5 linked regions of the Macaca fascicularis genome follow. The protein of the gene in region 1 binds, or shares a complex with, the protein of each later gene. Links are inferred from orthologs where the notes say so. Each region holds a gene or a part of one and is shown on either strand. Other genes may lie near its edges. The genes, in order: SNRNP40, AAR2, SART1, LSM4 and LSM8.

The links.
Region 2: SNRNP40 (region 1) and AAR2 share a complex: the UniProt entries of both Homo sapiens proteins name them as parts of the U5 snRNP complex. The link is inferred for Macaca fascicularis from reciprocal best matches to the Homo sapiens genes SNRNP40 and AAR2.
Region 3: SNRNP40 (region 1) and SART1 share a complex: the UniProt entries of both Homo sapiens proteins name them as parts of the U4/U6-U5 tri-snRNP complex. The link is inferred for Macaca fascicularis from reciprocal best matches to the Homo sapiens genes SNRNP40 and SART1.
Region 4: SNRNP40 (region 1) and LSM4 share a complex: the UniProt entries of both Homo sapiens proteins name them as parts of the U4/U6-U5 tri-snRNP complex. The link is inferred for Macaca fascicularis from reciprocal best matches to the Homo sapiens genes SNRNP40 and LSM4.
Region 5: SNRNP40 (region 1) and LSM8 share a complex: the UniProt entries of both Homo sapiens proteins name them as parts of the U4/U6-U5 tri-snRNP complex. The link is inferred for Macaca fascicularis from reciprocal best matches to the Homo sapiens genes SNRNP40 and LSM8.

What each region holds. Positions count from the first base shown.
Region 1 is NC_088375.1:203,728,175-203,731,688, forward strand, and holds part of SNRNP40 (U5 small nuclear ribonucleoprotein 40 kDa protein), read left to right. Parts: intron 1-2,458; coding exon 2,459-2,581; intron 2,582-3,514. UniProt on the Homo sapiens protein: Required for pre-mRNA splicing as component of the activated spliceosome. Component of the U5 small nuclear ribonucleoprotein (snRNP) complex and the U4/U6-U5 tri-snRNP complex, building blocks of the spliceosome.
Region 2 is NC_088384.1:92,328,584-92,332,097, forward strand, and holds part of AAR2 (protein AAR2 homolog), read left to right. Parts: intron 1-2,033; coding exon 2,034-2,263; intron 2,264-3,514. UniProt on the Homo sapiens protein: Component of the U5 snRNP complex that is required for spliceosome assembly and for pre-mRNA splicing.
Region 3 is NC_088388.1:8,430,006-8,433,519, forward strand, and holds part of SART1 (U4/U6.U5 tri-snRNP-associated protein 1), read right to left. Parts: intron 3,404-3,514; exon of another isoform or gene 3,363-3,403; coding exon 3,236-3,362; intron 3,113-3,235; coding exon 3,007-3,112; intron 2,750-3,006; coding exon 2,672-2,749; intron 2,557-2,671; coding exon 2,457-2,556; intron 2,368-2,456; coding exon 2,225-2,367; intron 2,094-2,224; coding exon 1,887-2,093; intron 1,189-1,886; coding exon 1,064-1,188; intron 977-1,063; coding exon 861-976; intron 768-860; coding exon 625-767; intron 1-624. UniProt on the Homo sapiens protein: Plays a role in mRNA splicing as a component of the U4/U6-U5 tri-snRNP, one of the building blocks of the spliceosome. May also bind to DNA.
Region 4 is NC_088393.1:18,687,750-18,691,992, reverse strand, and holds the start of LSM4 (U6 snRNA-associated Sm-like protein LSm4), read left to right. Parts: upstream 1-1,433; 5' UTR 1,434-1,492; coding exon 1,493-1,495; intron 1,496-4,243. UniProt on the Homo sapiens protein: Plays a role in pre-mRNA splicing as component of the U4/U6-U5 tri-snRNP complex that is involved in spliceosome assembly, and as component of the precatalytic spliceosome (spliceosome B complex).
Region 5 is NC_088377.1:159,620,925-159,624,919, reverse strand, and holds the start of LSM8 (LSM8 homolog, U6 small nuclear RNA associated), read right to left. Parts: upstream 2,806-3,995; 5' UTR 2,695-2,805; coding exon 2,664-2,694; intron 1,265-2,663; coding exon 1,224-1,264; intron 1-1,223. UniProt on the Homo sapiens protein: Plays a role in pre-mRNA splicing as component of the U4/U6-U5 tri-snRNP complex that is involved in spliceosome assembly, and as component of the precatalytic spliceosome (spliceosome B complex).

The sequences.
Region 1 (3,514 bases):
ATGCTGGGATTACAGGTGTGAGCTGTCACACCTGGCCTGTTTAGTGAATTTTTGAACTAATTTTGTAAAGTTTGTATTCTTTGTCCTGTGTTACCACTGAATTCTTTTTTTTTGTTAGCTTAGTGGTCAGCTAGTGAATGACAGAAGTTTCCTAAATTACCTACAACAACAAGAACAAAAGCTCTCCCAGTCTTTGCAGATTGTCTTTTGGTATGTTGGAGCCTGCCTTCAACTCCTTGCTGTGCAGTTTACATCTCTCCTTAGCTTTCACTTCCTGCTTGTGCAGAGCCTGAAGGTCAACCAGAGAGCTTATGGCCTTCTCAGATCTTTTCTAAGTATGTGCCCAGCCCTGGACATGCAAGTGGTCTAGATTGCCAGGGATGGGCCAGGCATGGTGGCTCATGCCTGTAATCTTAGCACTTTGGGAGGGCGAGGCAGACAGATCACTTGAGGCCAGGAGTGTGAGACCAGCCTGGTCAACATGGCGAAACCCTGTCTCTACTAAAAATACAAAAATTAGCTGGGTATAGTGGCACGCGCCTATAATCCCACCTACTCGGGAGGCTGAGACAGGAGAATTGCTTGAGCCTGTGAGGTGGAGGTTGCAGTGAGCCGAGATCGCACCACTGCACTCCGGCCTGGGTGACAGAGGGAGACTCTGTAGGTAGGTAGGTAGGTAGGTAGATAGATAGATAGATAGGTAGGTAGGTAGGTAGGTAGGTAGGTAGGTAGGTAGGTAGGTAGATAGATAGATAGATAGATAGATAGATAGATAGATAGATAGATAGATAAGATAAGATAGATAGATAAGATAGATAGCCAGGAATATGTCAGTGCTTTTCAAAACTCTTACTCCCCAAATTGTCTCCTTCCCCAGCCCTTCCTCCCAAGGTTTTTGGTTTGTATTTTTGCCCCAACTGTTTTTCCTTGCCCCCAGGCACCAGAGGCTAATAATATCCTTTCCTTTAAATGTTTTCTTTTTTTTTTTTTTTTTTTTTTTTTTTTTTTGAGACGGAGTCTTGCTCTGTCACCCAGGCTGGAGTGCTGTGGCCGGATCTCAGCTCACTGCAAGCTCCGCCTCCCGGGTTCCCGCCATTCTCCTGCCTCAGCCTCCCGAGTAGCTGGGACTACAGGCGCCCGCCACCTCGCCCGGCTAGTTTTTTTTTTTTTTTTTTTTTTTTGTATTTTTTAGTAGAGATGGGGTTTCACCGTGTTAGTCAGGATGGTCTCGATCTCCTGACCTCGTGATCCGCCCGTCTCGGCCTCCCAAAGTGCTGGGATTACAGGCTTGAGCCACCGCGCCCGGCCTAAATGTTTTCAAGGAAAGTTCCAAGTTAGACAAAATAAATGTAAGTCCTGGCCGGGCGCGGTGGCTCACGCCTGTAATCCCAGCACTTTGGGAGGCCGAGACAGGCGGATCACGAGGTCTGGAGATCGAGACCATCTTGGCTAACACGGTGAAACCCCGTCTCTACTAAAAGTACAAAAAACCAGCCGGGCGAGGTGGCGGGTGCCTGTAGTCCCAGCTACTCGGGAGGCTGAGGCAGGAGAATGGCGTAAACCCAGGAGGCGGAGCTTGTAGTGAGCCGAGTTGGCGCCACTGCACTCCAGCCTGGGCGACAGAGCAAAGACTCCGTCTCAAAAAAATAAATAAATAAATAAATAAATGTAAGTCCTTTGAGCTTATCCTTCAGGGAGCCACCAGACAAGTAAAAATAAACAATTTTTATTGTTTATTCTTTGACAATAAGAAATAGGCCCCCCTTTGCTTCCTCAGTACTAGGAAACCATACTGGGAATATGGGTTATCTTCAAAGCTGTTGCTGAGCGGGAGACAGAGCCAGCACAAGTTAAAACACTACAAAACCCTTTTACTGGGACTCAGGGGTTTTTTTGTTTCCTTTTTCCTCATTAAGGGTTTGCCTGGTTACTATAAACTTTTGATTAGTTATGAGAGTTCCGACAGTTGATTCTGACAGGTTTTTGCTGGTTCATTTGTTGTTTTGTGGAAGGACAAGCTTTTGTCATTGTTTATTATACTATTTTCACTGACGTACCCGCTCTCTATTTTTTTAAATGTGGGTTGCAGCCCACTAATGAATTAGTATCTACAGTTTGAAAAAATTGTCTGATATCCTTGTTGTCCTAAAAAATATATGAACCAAGTAATTAGTGGAATTCCATTCTAAGAGTATGTTGATTTAACTCTGTTTATTCACTTTAACAAAGAAGTCTGAAAATATAACTGAAGTTTTGTTTCACCAGCCTTCAAATGTCTTAGCAAAATTGAGGACACTGCTTACCATGTGTGTTATTAGGATATCCAGGAGTTAGTGAAATGGGATCCCAATTATAGATGTGTTCATGTTCACAAAGTCCTTGTACTTAGGGATATTTGTACTGTGCAGTTACTTCTTAGAATGATATTAATGATAGACCCTGTTGTCCTTTGCTTCAGCTTTGGGACATCCGGAAGAAAGCAGCCATCCAGACATTTCAGAACACGTACCAGGTGTTAGCTGTGACCTTCAATGACACAAGTGATCAGATTATTTCTGGTGGAATAGACAATGATATCAAGGTATGTTTGATGTTTATGATATATTTCCATTTCACCCATCTGCACTTAGAAACAAATTTTTTCAAACTTCTGAAATTGTGGTAGCTTTGCACTTAATACCAACTGAAAGGAAAATAGTAATTTGGAACTTATTTTCTTTTTCTCCTGTCTTCATTGACTTCCTAAATTAAAGGTTGCACTGCAGATCTTATAAATGCTGTCAGGGACCAGGCACTTAATGTGAAGTGTGAAGTCTCTGTAGGGGGACTATGTAAAAAATAAAGAGTGCATTTCCTTTTAAAGACATTCAGAATCTTTTTTTAACCATCTTAGTTTAATGGGAGCAGTGAATCAGTTTGTGATTCTGTATCCTCATCTCTCACTGTGTTTTTCTTTTTGACACTATGGAAAGGGAGTTTTCTAAGTTTCTCTAAGAATGAGAGAAGGTAATGATATTAAAGAGGCAATAGACCATATGGCAGTACAGTGTAGCTCAAACTTTCAAGTAATTGACTTGAGTTCTAATCCCAGTTTCACCATTTTCTAGTTTTGTGACTTCAACACCTTCTTTAAGCCTCTTTTTCTTGTGTGAATGCTGAGGGGGTAGTGATAACAAAAACTACCACATGGCATCTACCACATACCATTGTAGCGATTAAATGAGCCTGATTAGAGCACTTAGCAGAATTCCTGGACATAACAAGTGCCAGGAAATGTGTTATTTTGGTCCTGCACGGCTTCTGTCTTCCTTTCCTATTGGCTTCCTTGGGGATCTTAACGACTTTGACCTTACCTTCTGCTTTATAGTGAGAATAGTAACTGTCAGATAAATACTCAACTTTCTGTGTTGTCCTTTCCTAGAAGTTGTACTGTATTTCCATCCCTCGTTGTTTCCTTTGCTGTTACTTTGGATGAAATATCCTTGCTTTTGGCCAGGTGCGGTGGCTCACACCT
Region 2 (3,514 bases), on another chromosome or scaffold:
TATTTTAACAGGTATATCTTCATGCATTAGTATTTTCATGTAATAAGTAACTTTTGAAAGTCTGGCTTAAAAATGAATAGAAATCCTGTCTTTCTACCTCTTAAACATTTCAATTCTTCAAAATATATCTTGTGAAAAAGTCTGTTACAGGAATAACTTTGTTGGGTTGTTTTTTTTTTTTTTTTTTTTTTTTTTTGAGACAGGGCCTCACTTGGTGACATGGGCTGGAGTGCAGTGGCATGATCACAGCTCACTGCAGCTTCAACCTCCTGGGCTCAAGTGATCTCCCACCTCAGCCTCCTAAGTAGCTGGGACCACAGGTGTGTGCCACCACGCCCAGCTAATTATTTTTGGTAGAGATAGGGTCTCCCTGTGTTGCCCAAGCTTGTCTCAAACTCCTGAACTCAAGCAATCCTCCTCCATTGACCTCTCAAAGGGCTAGGACTATCCCTGCCACCACACCTGTCCAGGGATAATTTTGAATCTACATCACAGCTCTTTGAAATTATTTTTGATGTCATAATTAAATTTTAGACAAGGTCAGAAATGCACAAATTTAAATAAATGTCCTAAATGCAAAGAATAGGCTAATATTTAGTTTCACAAACCAAGTAAAGCCAGCTGAAGAAGCAAATCATTAACGTATATTACACAAAGAAAATTTGACTGTATTTGAAAATACTGGTCAGAGATCCAAAATATCTCAACCAGGTAGCTATTCACATACATCAAACTTAGTTCCATATGCTTAGGACAGGGAGCTAGTTTTTCCAGGTCTCTGGAAGTGGCAGAGATCAAACACTATGCATTTAAAGAGGTATTTGGTGTTGAGTGCATCTCTTCTTTTTATGGCCCACATGGACATATACCTCATTAAATTTCCAGCCACCTTTGAAGTAGAGAGAATGCCTGTGATGAGTGGCAGTAATTCTACAGTAACTTCCAGAGACCCCGTTACTTGCCCAGGGACAGTGGTGTCTGGATCATCAGGTCTCTTTGTTTGAGATGGGCATCTGATAGAAATTGGGAACATAATATTTTTTGAGTGCTACTTTGTGCCAGGTGTTATTCTAAATGCTTTACGTGTACTGTATCCATTCATTTAATCTTTGCTGCAACCCTCAAATAAGGAAATCCAGGTCTTAATAGATTGAGTAACTTGCCCAAGGTCACACAGCTGCTAAGTGGCAGAGCTAAGATTTGAATCTAGGCAGTTTGGCTCCAGAGCCCATGCTCTTAGCCACCAAGCTGCTCATAGAGATTAAATCACGGAGCCCTGTGATTAAGCAAACAAAAAATAATCTGGCTGGCATGCTGACCCTGGAATAAGTACTCAGGAATTTTTCTCTGGTGGGAGGTCCTAGAACTGTTCCCACCCAATAGAGAATCTGTTTTATCTTTCCATTGCCCACATTGTGAAGCATTGAAGTGCGGCCTTGGGCAAGCCCTTGACCTCATCTGTAAAATGAGGCAAATACCACCTTCCTGATCGCCTGTGGAGTTGGGCTGAGGGTTACATGGTGTAGTGCAGTATTTCTGTGACCCTGGAGCAGACCATCCGCATCAGAATCCCCTGGGGAGCTTGTCAGAGCTACAGATATGAAGGCCCCATCATCTCTCCTCAACCAGAACCTCTGAGGGGGAAGCTTGGGTAGCTTTACTTTTAACAGACTCTCAGTGATTCTGATGGGCAGCCAGGTTTGAGAGCCACTTGGCATAATATCCATGAACACATTTTGTAAACTTAAAATGCCAGGCAAATACTGGGAATACTTCTTCTCTTGCAGTCTGACTTTACAGAAATCCAAAGCCACAGGTTGGTTTCCCATGGCTTGAATTCATAGCGGTTCAGCAAACATTTGTTGAGTACCTGTTAGGTGCAAAATCCCATGCCAGGCTCTGCAGGAGTGACAAGGATAAAAAGTAATCTGTTGCTGAGGTCCAGTGGAATTGATGGCCTTGTGAACAGTGATGGAGAGTGTCATCTGGTTCTCCTCTCCCTCAGAATCACTTCTCCTCTCTGCACCTTTCAGGTGAACTCCAGTTTGCTTTTGTGTGCTTCCTGCTGGGGAATGTGTATGAGGCATTTGAGCATTGGAAGCGGCTCCTGAACCTCCTGTGCCGGTCAGAAGCAGCCATGGTGAAGCACCACACTCTCTACATCAACCTCATCTCCATCCTGTACCACCAGCTTGGTGAGATCCCCGCTGACTTCTTTGTAGACATTGTCTCCCAAGACAACTTCCTCACCAGCACCTTACAGGTGAGCAGTCTTTCTGACTGAGCTGATGCAGATGTGGGTCAGAATTGAGGCAACAGTATGTGTTTTGTTTCTTGCTATTCTTCCATGACCCAAAAATGTTTATATTTCAGTTTCCTAGTCTTGGGATATTTCCTGGTTTTCTCTCTCTTACTCAATTGTGTTTCTATGCCAGAAATTTTCTCTCTGTACCACGCTCACCCTATACCTCATCCCCAGTGTGCCTAAGTACAGTGGGGTACTTGGATTTGAATTCCTTCCACTGCTTTGGTTTACTCAGCTTAAAACAGCTTTTCTTTCTCCCTGTAGCCATGAATTGCTACAACCCAGTAAAGCAAAGTTTTGAAGTTTTTTATTCCCAGTGAAACATCTGCAGCTCCTTAGATCTCATTTAAGCATTAAAATAACTTTGATTTCCTGTTCAAACAAAATGTGCCAGTTTCTGCAGAGATTCTATGACAGAAAAAGTGAAATTTGCTTTTAACTTGGCAATTAAATTTTCATTATGAGTGGTAATTAGGAAAGAAGCTTCAAACAACTTACAATCTTCATCCTATGCTATTTCCTCCCTTTGCAAACAGATTAGTTTCCTTTATGTACTTGGGACAGCCTCTGTCACTCACATTGTGTAACTTTCTCAAGAATAGAAGAGGCAGAAGCTGCCAACTATCAGTTTCCATACTTTCCCTCCCATGAGCTTCTTTCTTCTCTCTGTGTGTAGTACCCCTATGAGGCCTGCTCCATATAAGGCAGCTTTTCACCAACCTTCCAATCCCACTCAGGGTAACAGAAGGGATGAATATTCATTAAATGTTGGGGCTGGGTGTGGTGGTTCATGGTTGTAATCCCAACACTTTGGGAGGTGAAGGCAGGAGGATCACTTGAGCCCAGGAATTAAAGACCAGCTTGGGCAATATAGTGAGACCCCATCTCTACAAAAATTTTAAAAATGGCTAGGTATGGTCATGCATACCTGTAGTCCTAGCTACTTGGGAGGCTGAGACAGGAGGATCACTTAGCCCAGGAGTTTGAGGCTATAGTGAGCAATGATCGTGATCGTGCCACTGCACTCCAGCCTGGGCAACAGAGTGAGACCCTGTTCACTCATTGAATCCCTTTGGAACCCTGTAAGATGGAGGTATTATTCCCACTTTACAAATGAGAACACTGAGAACGGTTAAATCATTTACTTGAAGTCATACAGCTGGCAGATGGAGGTCAGGATTTGTACCCAGGCCTGAGTCTTGGTTTCCT
Region 3 (3,514 bases), on another chromosome or scaffold:
TTCTCTGAGTCCAGGGCCCCGTGGCTGTCCTGTTCACCAATGACCTTCTCGGCCCAAGAACAATGCACTACTCACAGCAGGCATTCAACAAACATGCACAGGAAGAGAGAGGCCAGGAAAGGATCCCCTACTAAAGCAGGCATCTAAAAACTTTTGCAAAACATGACTTTTAAACAGAAAACATGACTTTAACCAGGGCTGGTCGCAGTGGCTCACACCTGTAATCTTAGCATTTTTGGAGGCCGAGGCAGGCAGATCATGAGGTCAGGAGTTGGAGACCAGCCTGGCCAACACGGTGAAACCCCGTCTCTACTAAAAATACAAAAATTAGCCGGGTGTGGTGGCGGGTGCCTGTAATCCCAGCCACTCAGGAGGCTAAGGAATGAGAATCACTTGAACCAGGGAGGCGGAGGCTGCAGTGAGCCGAGGCCACGCCATTGCACTCCAGCCTGGGCGACAGAGCAAAACACTTGTCTCAAAAAAAAACAAAACCCAGAAAACAAAAAACAAATGGAAAAGAGGCTTCAGACAGGAATGTGGCTGTTGCCTATGACACATGTGCTCGTGAGGACAGGTGACTGCTGACGCACTGGTAGCCCCAGGCCTGCCCATGCCCAGCCTCACCTTCTCGCCACTGTCTCGCAGCTGCTGCAGCTGCTGTAACTGTCGCAGCCGGCGTCCCTTCTCCAGCTGCTTCTGCAGCTCCAGCTCCGCCTCGTCCTCCTCCAGCACCTGCGGGGACCCCGGCTGTGGAGCTCCACCTTCCTCTGGGGGATACACAGGGGATGCCTGCTCAGACAATCTCCTCCAACCCAGGGCTCCTGTCCCTGCCCCCTCCCACCTCCTGGCCAGGCTCTCACCCTCATCACTGATGTCCATGTTCTCCACTCGGGTGTCATCCGACGGCAGGGGCTGAGGCACGGGCTCCTTCTCCTCCTCCACCTCAGACACTCGGCGGCGACCCCGTCCCCGCAGTCTGAGGGAAGGAGGCCTCTCTGGTGAGCACCGGCCCCCGGGACACCCCAGCCCAGCCCTCTCACCCTACCATGGTGTCCAAGCCCACCTGGAACCAAAGTCCCCATCCTGAGTCTGGTCCCCGAGAGGCAACAGGTCATCCGCCCGCACTACGACCTCCTTCTCCTTCTTGCGGATTTTCCTCACCCTCCGCTTGGTCCTTCTAAAGGCCACCTGAGGGGAAGAGGGAGGCGTGGGGCGGGGCGGGGAAAGGCAGGCCACCACAAGCCCGCGAGGATGAACACTTCTTTGGTGTTCTTCTGTGCTAGCCAGTGTCCTGAGCACTTCTCACACATGAGCAACACGTGGGGTGGTTACTATCTCCCTTCCACTGGTGATTAGGGAAACTGGGGCACAGAGAGGTTAAGTACCTTCCCCAAGGTCGCCCAGCTCCTAGGTGGGAAAGCCGGGCAGTCTGGCTCCAGAGTCCTGCTCTTACCCACTGAGCAAGACGCCTACTACACCAGCTGACTACCTCACGTTCACACAGTCACTCTGCGGACAGAATCCACGCACACCTTTCCAGTCACCCCTCACCCACACTGTCACTCATCCTCACAGCAACCTCAGGAGGTGGCTCCTATCACTGCCACTCCAGATGGGGCACCCCAGGCTCACAGTTAAATGGCTTACCCAAGGCACAAGCTGGCAGTATGGCAGAGCAGAAACACCAACTGGGGCCCATCTGGCTCAGCAGCCCTGACCCGTCAACACCTGGTGCCTCCCCAGGTTGCCATTTACTGCTTGCCCACGAGGCCAAGCGCTTTGTGAACAGAAATACTTGCCCTCTCTTCCCAGTGCCTGCGGGCAGCGCAGGAGCCCCAAGGGGAGGGAGAATCATGACCCCAAGTACAAGGCGCAAGAGGGCTCACCATCTCCTCGGGTGTGAGGTACTCAGAGGCCAGCCGGGGCCCCACCGTGCTCAGGGACTGAGCCTGCAGCCGCAGCTTGGCCCGGATCTCCTCCAACTCCCGTTCCCGCAGGCCATCGGCCATGCCCCCCTGCTCCAAGCGGAAGGAATGCGGCTGCTCCCCCTCAAGCTCTTCGTCGTACTTGGACAGGATAGAGCGAGGTTTTTGCTGCAAGGTAAGAGGTACAGGTTGGGACCCAGGGTGGCTCCTGAAAAGCCACTGAGCCACCACCTCCTCAGAGCCCCTATTCCCGACATTCTCCACCCCAGCCCCCGCCGCCCAGCCTGCTTGGGCCGTGCCTGCGCCAGGTCGTCCACACTCTCGTCCTCGGCATAAGGCAGGTAGTCGGGCTTCTTCTTCCGCAGCTCCACATTCTTCTCTGCCCGCTCCTTATCCACCAGGTTCACGTTCACCAGCACGTCCTCCTCCTCCTGCAGCACGCCTGCGGGCAGCACAGAGCAGTGGCCATTCACACTTGTCCACAACTCAGCAGAGGCTGTGCCCCGACCCAAGGCACCCAGCTCGCGTCACCTTTGTCCTTAAGGGTGAGGATCATGGTCTCCCCTTCTCGGAAGGAATCAATGGCATGCTCCACGGTGAGGCCCTGCAGGTCCCGGGCACTGTACAGGTCCTAACAGAAGAATCAGGCGAGTAAAGAACCTCCCTCCACGCGCCCAACCTTGGGATTCCAGCATCAAGGCCGCCAGTGTGCCCTGCACCACCCACCCCGGCTGCTGCAGCCTCACCTGCCGTCTCTGCCCGAACTCCTCCTCTACCAGAGTGCTGACACCAAACTCTTGGTCCATCTCCTCCAGTAACTTTGCCTATGGGACAGGGAGGGGTGACCTAGGACCTCAGGCCACTCAGCACCACCAGAAAACACTCAGGGCTCTACCAAGCGGAGTGCAAAAAGAGCAGGCCTTGCAGGAAAGTTGCTGAGAATCCAAAGCAGATGCTACCAACCACAGCCCATCCCCTCTCCGAACCCCGTCTCACCTCTCTGGGGTCGACCCCCTGCCTCAACGCCCAGTCAGGCCAGCAAAAGCACTGGGCAACCACCCCATGCTGCCCAGGTGCTCACCCTCTTCTCTGCCAGGTCTTTCTCCTTCTGCAGCTGCCGGCTCCTCTCGATCCAGGCTGCAGTGTCATCCAGCCAGGGATCATCCTCTCCTAGGGTCTTTATCTTCCTGAAGAGGGGAGAAAGTGATGCTCCAGGAGCCCAGCTCCTGCTCCCAACCCCACTCAAAAGGCAGCCAAGGATGGTGGCCTCCCCAGCCCTTCCCTTGCCTGCCCTGGCCAGGACCCCTCACCCCAGCTTTTGGTTCAGCAGGCGCTTCTCCTTGGCAGCCGCCAGCTTCTCCCGCAGCTCCTCTCGCTGTCGCAAGGCCATAGGATTGATGACATCGGCTGTCACGGGCTCCTCCTTGGTGCCCGCCTCTGGAAGGGGGGCCCAGACGTGAGGCTATGCCCGCCCATGGCTGGTGGGGAGAGGAGGGAGCCACTCACCCTGCCCCCTTCCAGCTCAGGGGGCCAGAAGGGGTCAGGACAGGAAGGAACAATCCTTCACCTCCCTGCTCCCACTTCGTCCC
Region 4 (4,243 bases), on another chromosome or scaffold:
GCCAGCCTGGCCAACATGGTGAAACCCCGTCTCTACTAAAAATACAAAAATTAGCTGGGCATTGTGGCGTGTGCCTGTAATCCTAGCCACTCTGGTGGCTGAGGCAGGAGAATCCCTTAAACCCAGGACGGAGGGATTGCAGTGAGCTGAGATCCCACCACTGCACTGTAGTCTGGGTGATAGAATGAGACTCCATTTCAAAAAAAAAAAAAAAAAAAATAGGGTCTTTGCAGATGTAATTAAGGATCTTGCGATGACATTATCCTGAATTTATGGTGGGCTTAATAAGAGAAAGGCGTGTCCTTATAAGAAAACGGAGAGGCTGGGCTCGGTGGCTCACGCCTGTAATCCCAGCACTTTGGGAGGCAGAGGAGGGAGGATTGCTTGACCCCAAGAGTTCGAGACCAGCCTGGACAACATAGGGAGACCCTGTCTCTACAAAAAAAGAAAAAAAAAAGGAGAGAGTCGTTTGAGACTCAGAGACACACAGAGAAGGCCAAGTGACGACAGAGGCAGAAGGCGGAAGGCTGCATCTACAAGCCAAGAACTCCGAGGTTTCCCAGCAGCCACCAGAACCCAGGAGAGAAGCATAGGACACGCAGATTGTCCTCAGAGCCTCCAGAGGGAGCCAACCCTACTGACAACCTCATTTTATTATTCTGGTCTCCTGAATTATGAGAAAATCACGTTCTGTTGTTTTAAGCCTCCCAGTGTGTGGGCATTTGTTACAGCAGGCCCCAGGGAACTAATAGCATTCGCCTATTTACTTTGTTTACTGTCTGTCTCCCTAAGGGCCACGAATTTTGTGTACTGTTCATTTCTATGAGCAGAAGCAGGCACAGAATAGGTATTAAGTACTTAATATATGCCAGACGCTGTTTTAAGTGCTTTTACACGGTTTCATTCATTTCATCCTCATAGTAAGTAACGTTTTGGAGCAGACACTACTATTTACAGGGAGAAAACTGAGGCCCCGAGGGTCGTGGTCAGGATTCCAACCTACTAAATGATGTTCCCTGGATAATTACAGAATCAGAAAACTAGGAGTCCGAAGGGCGACACCAGGGACGTCCCAATCACCACGAAGCCTGGATTTCTCTCCCTCAACTGCAAAGGAAGTTACTGGCTTTGCCCACAGCGTGGAGCCCAGAAGACCGACGAAGGTTTCACCTGCGCACGCGTTTACCCACAATGCACCCCGCCCCGGCGCGCGTTGCTCCGCCCCCTTTTGTATTACAAGCCGCGGCACTTTACGGCTCTCTTCCTCGTTCCTCTGGCGGGAACACGGCCCGGCCCGCCCCTTTCGCCTAGCGGGCCCCGCCCTACTCCGCGTGGATTGGTTAACCGGCCTTCTAGCCCGGTGCTGACTGGCTCGCGTCTCTGCCACTTTCTTTCAGCCCAGTGGCGCGCGGCGCGGCGTGGCGAAGACCGCCGGGAGCGTGTGCAGCGGCGGCGGCGGAAGTGGCCGGCGAGCCCGGTCCCCGCCGGCACCATGGTGAGGGCAGAGCAACGGCGGGGTCTCACCGGGAGGCGGGAACCGCAGTCGTTAGGAGCCCTGCGGGCGGGCGCTGAGGGCTGGGTTGGCGCGGGGCGAACGTACGGTCCGAGCCTTGAGTCCCGTCCCCCGGCACAAGGCCGGGAAACTGATGCTGGAGACTGCAGGTGGTTCTACCACGTTCGTGTCTGGGATTTAGGGTTGCACGTACTCGTATCCACAGTACAGTGGCCTCGCCTTACTTAGTTTTCCCATTTTGCAGGTTGGGAAACTGAGGTTAAAAAAGTGGGGATCTGCCAAATGCAACAGAGAGTTTTTGGGCAGGGAAGGGGGTCCCTTACGCTTCGGACCCAGTCTGACCTCCCAGATTGAAACCTAGAATGCTGGGAAGTAGGGGGCCAGTCTGAGTTGTGAAACTTAGTTTTAGGAATTTCAGAGCTTGTAAGATGCTTAAAATGCTAGCAGCAGAGCCTCTTAGGCCTCTTGTTTTCTGGCTGAAAAGTAGGCCTGGTGCTGGGGTGTGGTGTTTCTCCTTGGTTCACAAAGCATGTCATTCCAGAGGAAGGGAGCGTTTTGAGCTAGGGGTGGGCAAAGTACATCCTCCCCGTACACAGAAGGAAAAATTGCAGCCCAGGTCTCTGCAGGGCCACATTGTTTATGATTCTGTAAGTTCTGGATCTGGGCTAGAAAGTGCCCGTGTCTCCCAGTGTGCAGATCAGAAAAGGAATCCAGAGCTGGGAGTTTCCTGGCTCATCAGCATCTGGCCCTTCTTTTTTCAATGAGAGAAACCAAGGCCCTTGTTGGGGATGTGACTTCCAGACTGTGAGACAGTGGGAGATTCAGTAACCAGGAGGGCCCCCCAGGGGTGGCTGCATCAGAACTGTGGATTAGTGAGAGAGCTCTCCCTAAATCCAGCTGGTCAGTGTGTAGCCACCCAACGGGTTCACCTTGCCTGCTTCCTAGACAGAGCCCATTTATCAAGACAGGGCAATTGCAATACAGAAAGAGTATTTCACACAGAGCCAGCTATGCAGGAGACTGGAGTTTTATTACTGCTGAAATCAGTCTCCCCTGAGCATTAGGGGATCCGAGTTTTTAAAGATAATTTGGCGGGTAGGAGCTCAGGAAGTGGGGAGTGCTGATTGGTTGGAGCTTCCTGAGGTTGGAGATGGAGTCATTGGCGGGGGGGGGGGGGGGGGGGGGGGGCGGGGGGGCGGGGGCGGGGGTTGAAGTGAGATTTTCTTGCTGTCTTCTGTTCCTGGGTGGGATTGCAGGACTGGTTGAGCCAAATTACTGGTCTGGGTGGTGTCAGCTGATCCACCAAGTACAGGGTCTGCAAAATATCTCAAACACTGATCTTAGATTTTATAATAGTGATGTTATCCCTAGGAGCAATTTGGGGAGGTTCAGACTCTTGCAGCCAGAGGCTGTATGACCCGTAAACAATAATTTCTAATCGTGCAGCTAATTTGTTAGTCCTACAAAGGCAGACTGGTCCCCAGGCAAGAAAAGGGTCTTTTCGGGAAAGGGCTATTACCAATTTTGTTTCAAACTATACACTAAATCCCTTCCCAAGGTTAGTTCGGCCTATGCCCAGGAATAAACAAGAACAGCTTAAAGGTTAGAAGCACGATGGAGTCGGTTAGGTCTGATCTCTTTTCGCTGTCATAATTTCCTCAGTTACAATTTTTGCAAAGGCGGTTTCAAGAGCAAGGATTCAGAGAGCCTGTCCCTCTGCCATGTACTTAGAGGGCAGAGTTGGCATGCAAGACTGGGCAGAGCTGGAAGGATCCATCCCTGTGTTAAGTTTTGTGGAAGCAGAATCTTTTTTTTTCTTCCAACTATATTCCCAGTGTGTAGAACGGTGCCTGGGCAAAGTGTGAACTCATTCATTCAGCCCCTTCCCACCTTCTGAACATCCAGAGTCCTGGCTATCCAGCCATTTCCTGGAGGAGTGGCCAAGAATGGACAAGGCATCATGGGATACACACTTCCAGTTCCCTGTGATCAGGGCAGGGCCAGAAGGAGTGGCCTGGGTTAGGAGCGGGGATGGGCAGTCCTGGACAGCTTCCTGAATTAGGAGGCACTGGATTAGGTCTTTGTGGATCTAGACCTGAGAACCAGATTCCAGATGCTGCAAGAAAGCCCACTAAACCTCCACCTCTCGGAGAGAGTGATTTTCCTGCCTCAGCCTCCCAAGTAGCTTGGGATCACAGGCATGCGCCACCACGCCTGGATAATTTGTGTATTTTCAGTAGAGATGGGGTTTCACCATGTTGGCTAGGCTAGTCTTGAACCCCAGACCTCAGGTGATCCACCCACCTCGGTGTGTCAAAGTGCTGGTATTACAGGTGTGAGCCACTGCACTCTGTACTTTTTTTTCTTTTTTGGAACTGAGCTCTCACTGTCGTCCAGGCTGGAGTGCAATGGCACAATCACTGCAGCCTCAACCTCACCGGCCCAAGTGATCCTCCCACCTGAGCCTCCCAAGTAGCTGGGACCACATGCGTCACTAAACCTGTCTAATTCTTACATTTTTTGTAGAGACAGAATCTTGCTGTGTTGCCCAAGCTGGTCTCATACTCCTGGGCTCAAGTGATCCTCCCACCTCAGCCTCCCAAAGTGCTGTGATTATAGGCGCAAGCCACTGTGCCAAGCCTCACCTGGCACTTTGATGTATCTTCTTTTAAGATTTTGAGGATCCACCCCTTCCTCTGACCTCTTTCTCCAACAGAGTTTGGAGATGAG
Region 5 (3,995 bases), on another chromosome or scaffold:
AATAATTTCCCAGTTTATTATCCTGTTAACAAAAATAAGAAAATTTAAACGTAAGGTTTTCACTAAATAAAAAATAATGCAAACATCTATTAATAGCAATAGGCTTCTTGAAGTGTTGAGGTTAAAATATGTCAAACTGTCCACATTTGAAAAAATACAATGTGAGGTGCCTAAGAAAACATGATTGCTTCCTTAAGAAAGAAGCCAGGCAACTGGCCTTGGCTTTGATGTCAAACCAAATTTAAATCCCAGTTTGGTTCTGTCACCTGCTACCCTTGTGACTCTGAGAAAGTGAGTCACCTTCTCTGAACTTGTTTCCTAATCTAGAATACAGGGGTACTTATTCTTCACAAGGTTGTATGTACATTAATTAATGTAACACATATGCACCTGGCACACGATATAAATTTAGTAAATGGCAAAGCTAGAACTTTGACTAACAATAGTCACTAAGAACAAACGAAAGCAAAACTGCAGAATGGAAAAATAAGGGATCAAATTATTTAAAGAAACTAGGTAGGGTTAGAAAAGTTTAGTAGCCTTAAAATTCTTTTGAAAGCATTTGGAGTAGGAATTATAAGTGAAGAAATAATCAAGTGCCCAAAAATCTTGAGATGAATTCCTCAGATCAAATTCCAAATACAAGTATCACCATAGGAACGTTTTATCTTTGTTATATGACATAAATTAGCAAGGGAGAAACAACTTCAAGGAACAAGCCAATTTTACGTAAATATGTGTATATAGAGAGAGTCAATCATCATAATGTGTCCTACAGAAGACATGTCACACAACCTAAAAACAAAGAATGTTAAGATTGTATACAAGCCTTAAATGTTGATATGTAGATATTAATAGTATCTAAATCATTAAAAAGTTACTAAGCATATGCAAAATTTCAAAAAATTCTGATTCATGTGGTGCCGAATGAGGAAGGAAATAAAAATGGAAGAAGAAAAGTAAGTTTAATGAAGGTCTGCAGACTAGGAGCTCTCTGAGGGCAGAATCTATAACTCTAGCTCCTAGAAGCCTTGTAGGTAACACGCCACGTTTATGAGTGAGGAAAACGTGGATTGACAGCAAAGTGATAAAGAGCTGAATTATAATAAAACTGCACTACAGGTGTAATGTGCTGTCTAGGCATTAGAGATCAGAGGTTTCACATAAAACTTGCAACCAATAAACCTACAGGAAAGCAGAGAATGAAAATTCCGAAGACTTACCACAATCATCCTCCCATCAGATGTAATAACGGCAACAGTTCCTGATAACTGAATAAAGGAAAGTGTTTCTTAGGGAATGCAAATTGAAAACAGACTCTGGCAAGGTAATGATTTAAATTATTAGAACAAATATGACAATTAGGTAAAAGTGTTCAACACAGCCACTAAGTTCACTACATAAAAACGTTGAAAGATTTTGGGACGCCAAGGCAGGAGGATCACTTGAGGTGAGACTAGCTTGGGAAACACAGTGAGACCCCCCCCATCTCTACTACCCTGGCCTGGTGACCTATAGTCCCAGCTACTCAGGAGACAGAGGCAGAGGCAGGAGGATAGCTTGAGCTCAGGAGTTCAAGGTTGCATTGAGCCATGATCAAGCCACTGCACTCCAGCCTGGGCAACACAGTGAGACCCTCGACTCAAAAAAAGAAAGAAAAAAAATTTTTTAAAAGCTTGTTTTAGTTTTGTGATAATTACATGACTAAAAAAAGGAAAAAATAGAAAAGAAAACCTCTTTCTGTATGTGATCGGTGTATCCTATCTCAAAATATCCTGGATTTTTGACACTTTTCTACTAGGAATGCTGCCAATCTATTATTTCGGACAGGATATTTCGTTTCTTGGGCCTGTTTATATCTAAAATGAAAACTGGATGAGTACTAAATTCATCGATGTTGGACGATTTTCAAGCATGTTAAAAAACTGTCTTCCGGGGCAGGCTTCTGTAATTCAAAAGTAAATAAACTATATAATCAGTGTCACAAGGTACTAACAATGCCTGTAACATTAAAAGCATTCGGTATTTAATTTTTGTCACCCAGTTTGTACCTGAACTTAACATAGTGTTTTTGTTCTGAGACTTTAAAACGGTAACACTTGTAAAGTCTATTTTAAGACTTCCCGTGGGGTTGTTACTTGCTCCTCACTATAATCCATTACAACAGCAAGCATTTTTTTCATTCCACCACCAGGTAGGGTCTTCAAGTGGTAAAGGGACAGAAACAGTCTGTGAACCATCGTTAAACTTTCTGCTATCCTCGAACTAATGAGCATATTATGTGAATAAAACAAGTACACAGATTTGCAAAACTGTTGTCGCAGCCAGGACGACTGTTAATCTTATTTACAAACTTGAACACTTATGCCCTAGGGAAATAGTAAGGAAGAATCAAGAGCGTAATTTTTTTTAAGACAGAAAAGTTCGGAAAAATCACACTGGGTTTTTATTTGGCTTTTGTAGACAAAATGGAAAGGACCCCTGGGCCCGCAGCAGCTGGCAGGCTCTAGGCGCCGCCGCCGAACTCTGGGTCATTCCGGGGTCCTCATCTCGCCCGCCCCCAGGATCCCGCCGCGGCCGGGCCTCCCAACTTCCCACCGATCCCCGAGCGGCGGTCTCTCCGCGGCCCCGGCTCACGCCCGCGGCGGCCAGCTTGAGGATACGGTTGATGTAGTTCTCCAAGGCGGACGTCATGCTGCTCGGACCGGCAGTTCCGGATAACGCAGTGGTGCCGGCCACAAGCAGAACTGAAAGGGCGCGCCAGAACTCGGCAGCGGTTCGCGTCTGCGGGCCGCCGCAAATATCGTGAGAGTTGCTGCTCCGCAGCCCTTTGACTCGGAAATTGGGACGAACTAGCCAACCAAACAGAAGCAGCGCCGCTCTGACGAGAGAGTGCGCGTGCGCAGTGTGTTTTCGCTGTAATTCTGGGCCGTGTTCCGGAAGCCGTGTAAGACAAAGGGAACGAGAGGCGGAAAAAAGGAGGACGCTTCCCGAAGGTGGGGTACGAGAGAGAAGTTGGGGGAGAGTGGGTTTCCAATCCGAGTAAAACCCAGTGTGGTGGAAGATAATAAGTGAAAATGTTGAGGTAGAGCAGGCAGGAAGAAACAGGATAAGGCGTTTTTTATTAGGAGTGAAGGAGGAGAGTAGACGAGCGCTGTTGTGTGAAATGCGGGTGCGGGTAGTTGAATCCCTAGTTTTCTGCAGCAGGAGCCGAAAATAACACTAAAAATAAGTCCAGTTGGCCGGGACAAAGTTGCGCACGTTATAACCACACGGTGTAAGCGTCTTAAGAACTCAACAATGAAATGCACGTTCGTATGTTCTGCTTTTGTCTCTAAAAGTGGTCCAAAATGGAGGTGTTTTTACTTTTTAAAGAAACTAAATGCAAATAGAAAAAGGTGTGTGACCATCCCTTAGAAAACGAATGTTCACGCTTCTACCACGCCGGGATGGTCTGCCGGAATTCTCCAGGGTGAAATTAATAAATAAAAGGCTCCTTCAGCACCAAGAAAGGACTGATGCAGGAAGGCACCAAACTTGGTTCTAATCTTGGCTCTGCTAACGTATTGGTGTCATTGCACAGGTCACTTCAATTCTTCTGGGCCTCAGTTTCCTTATAGTGCCATAGGTATCATTTCAGATATTTCCCAATGTGATACTGTTCCCACTTTATTTACTGTGTTGCCCTAACTTGAGAGAGCTTGAAGTTAGAAAGAGATTTATACACAAAACATCAGCAGGAGCGATTTCCCTTTTTTACAAAATATCTTTATGATTTAGGTTAAACATGTATTTTCTTAAGAATTGTGGCTTTGGAATAACTCTTGCAATGTCAGCAGTTTTCCTGGGAAAAGGAAGCATTTCTTAATTAGAGCATACCCACAAGATACCTACAAGATGACTCCCAAATAGTTAAAATTTTATATTCTGGAAGTTATTCCGATCTGTTTGAAATCAAATGTAGTCAGGAATTAGATTGTGAATGTCTCATATTC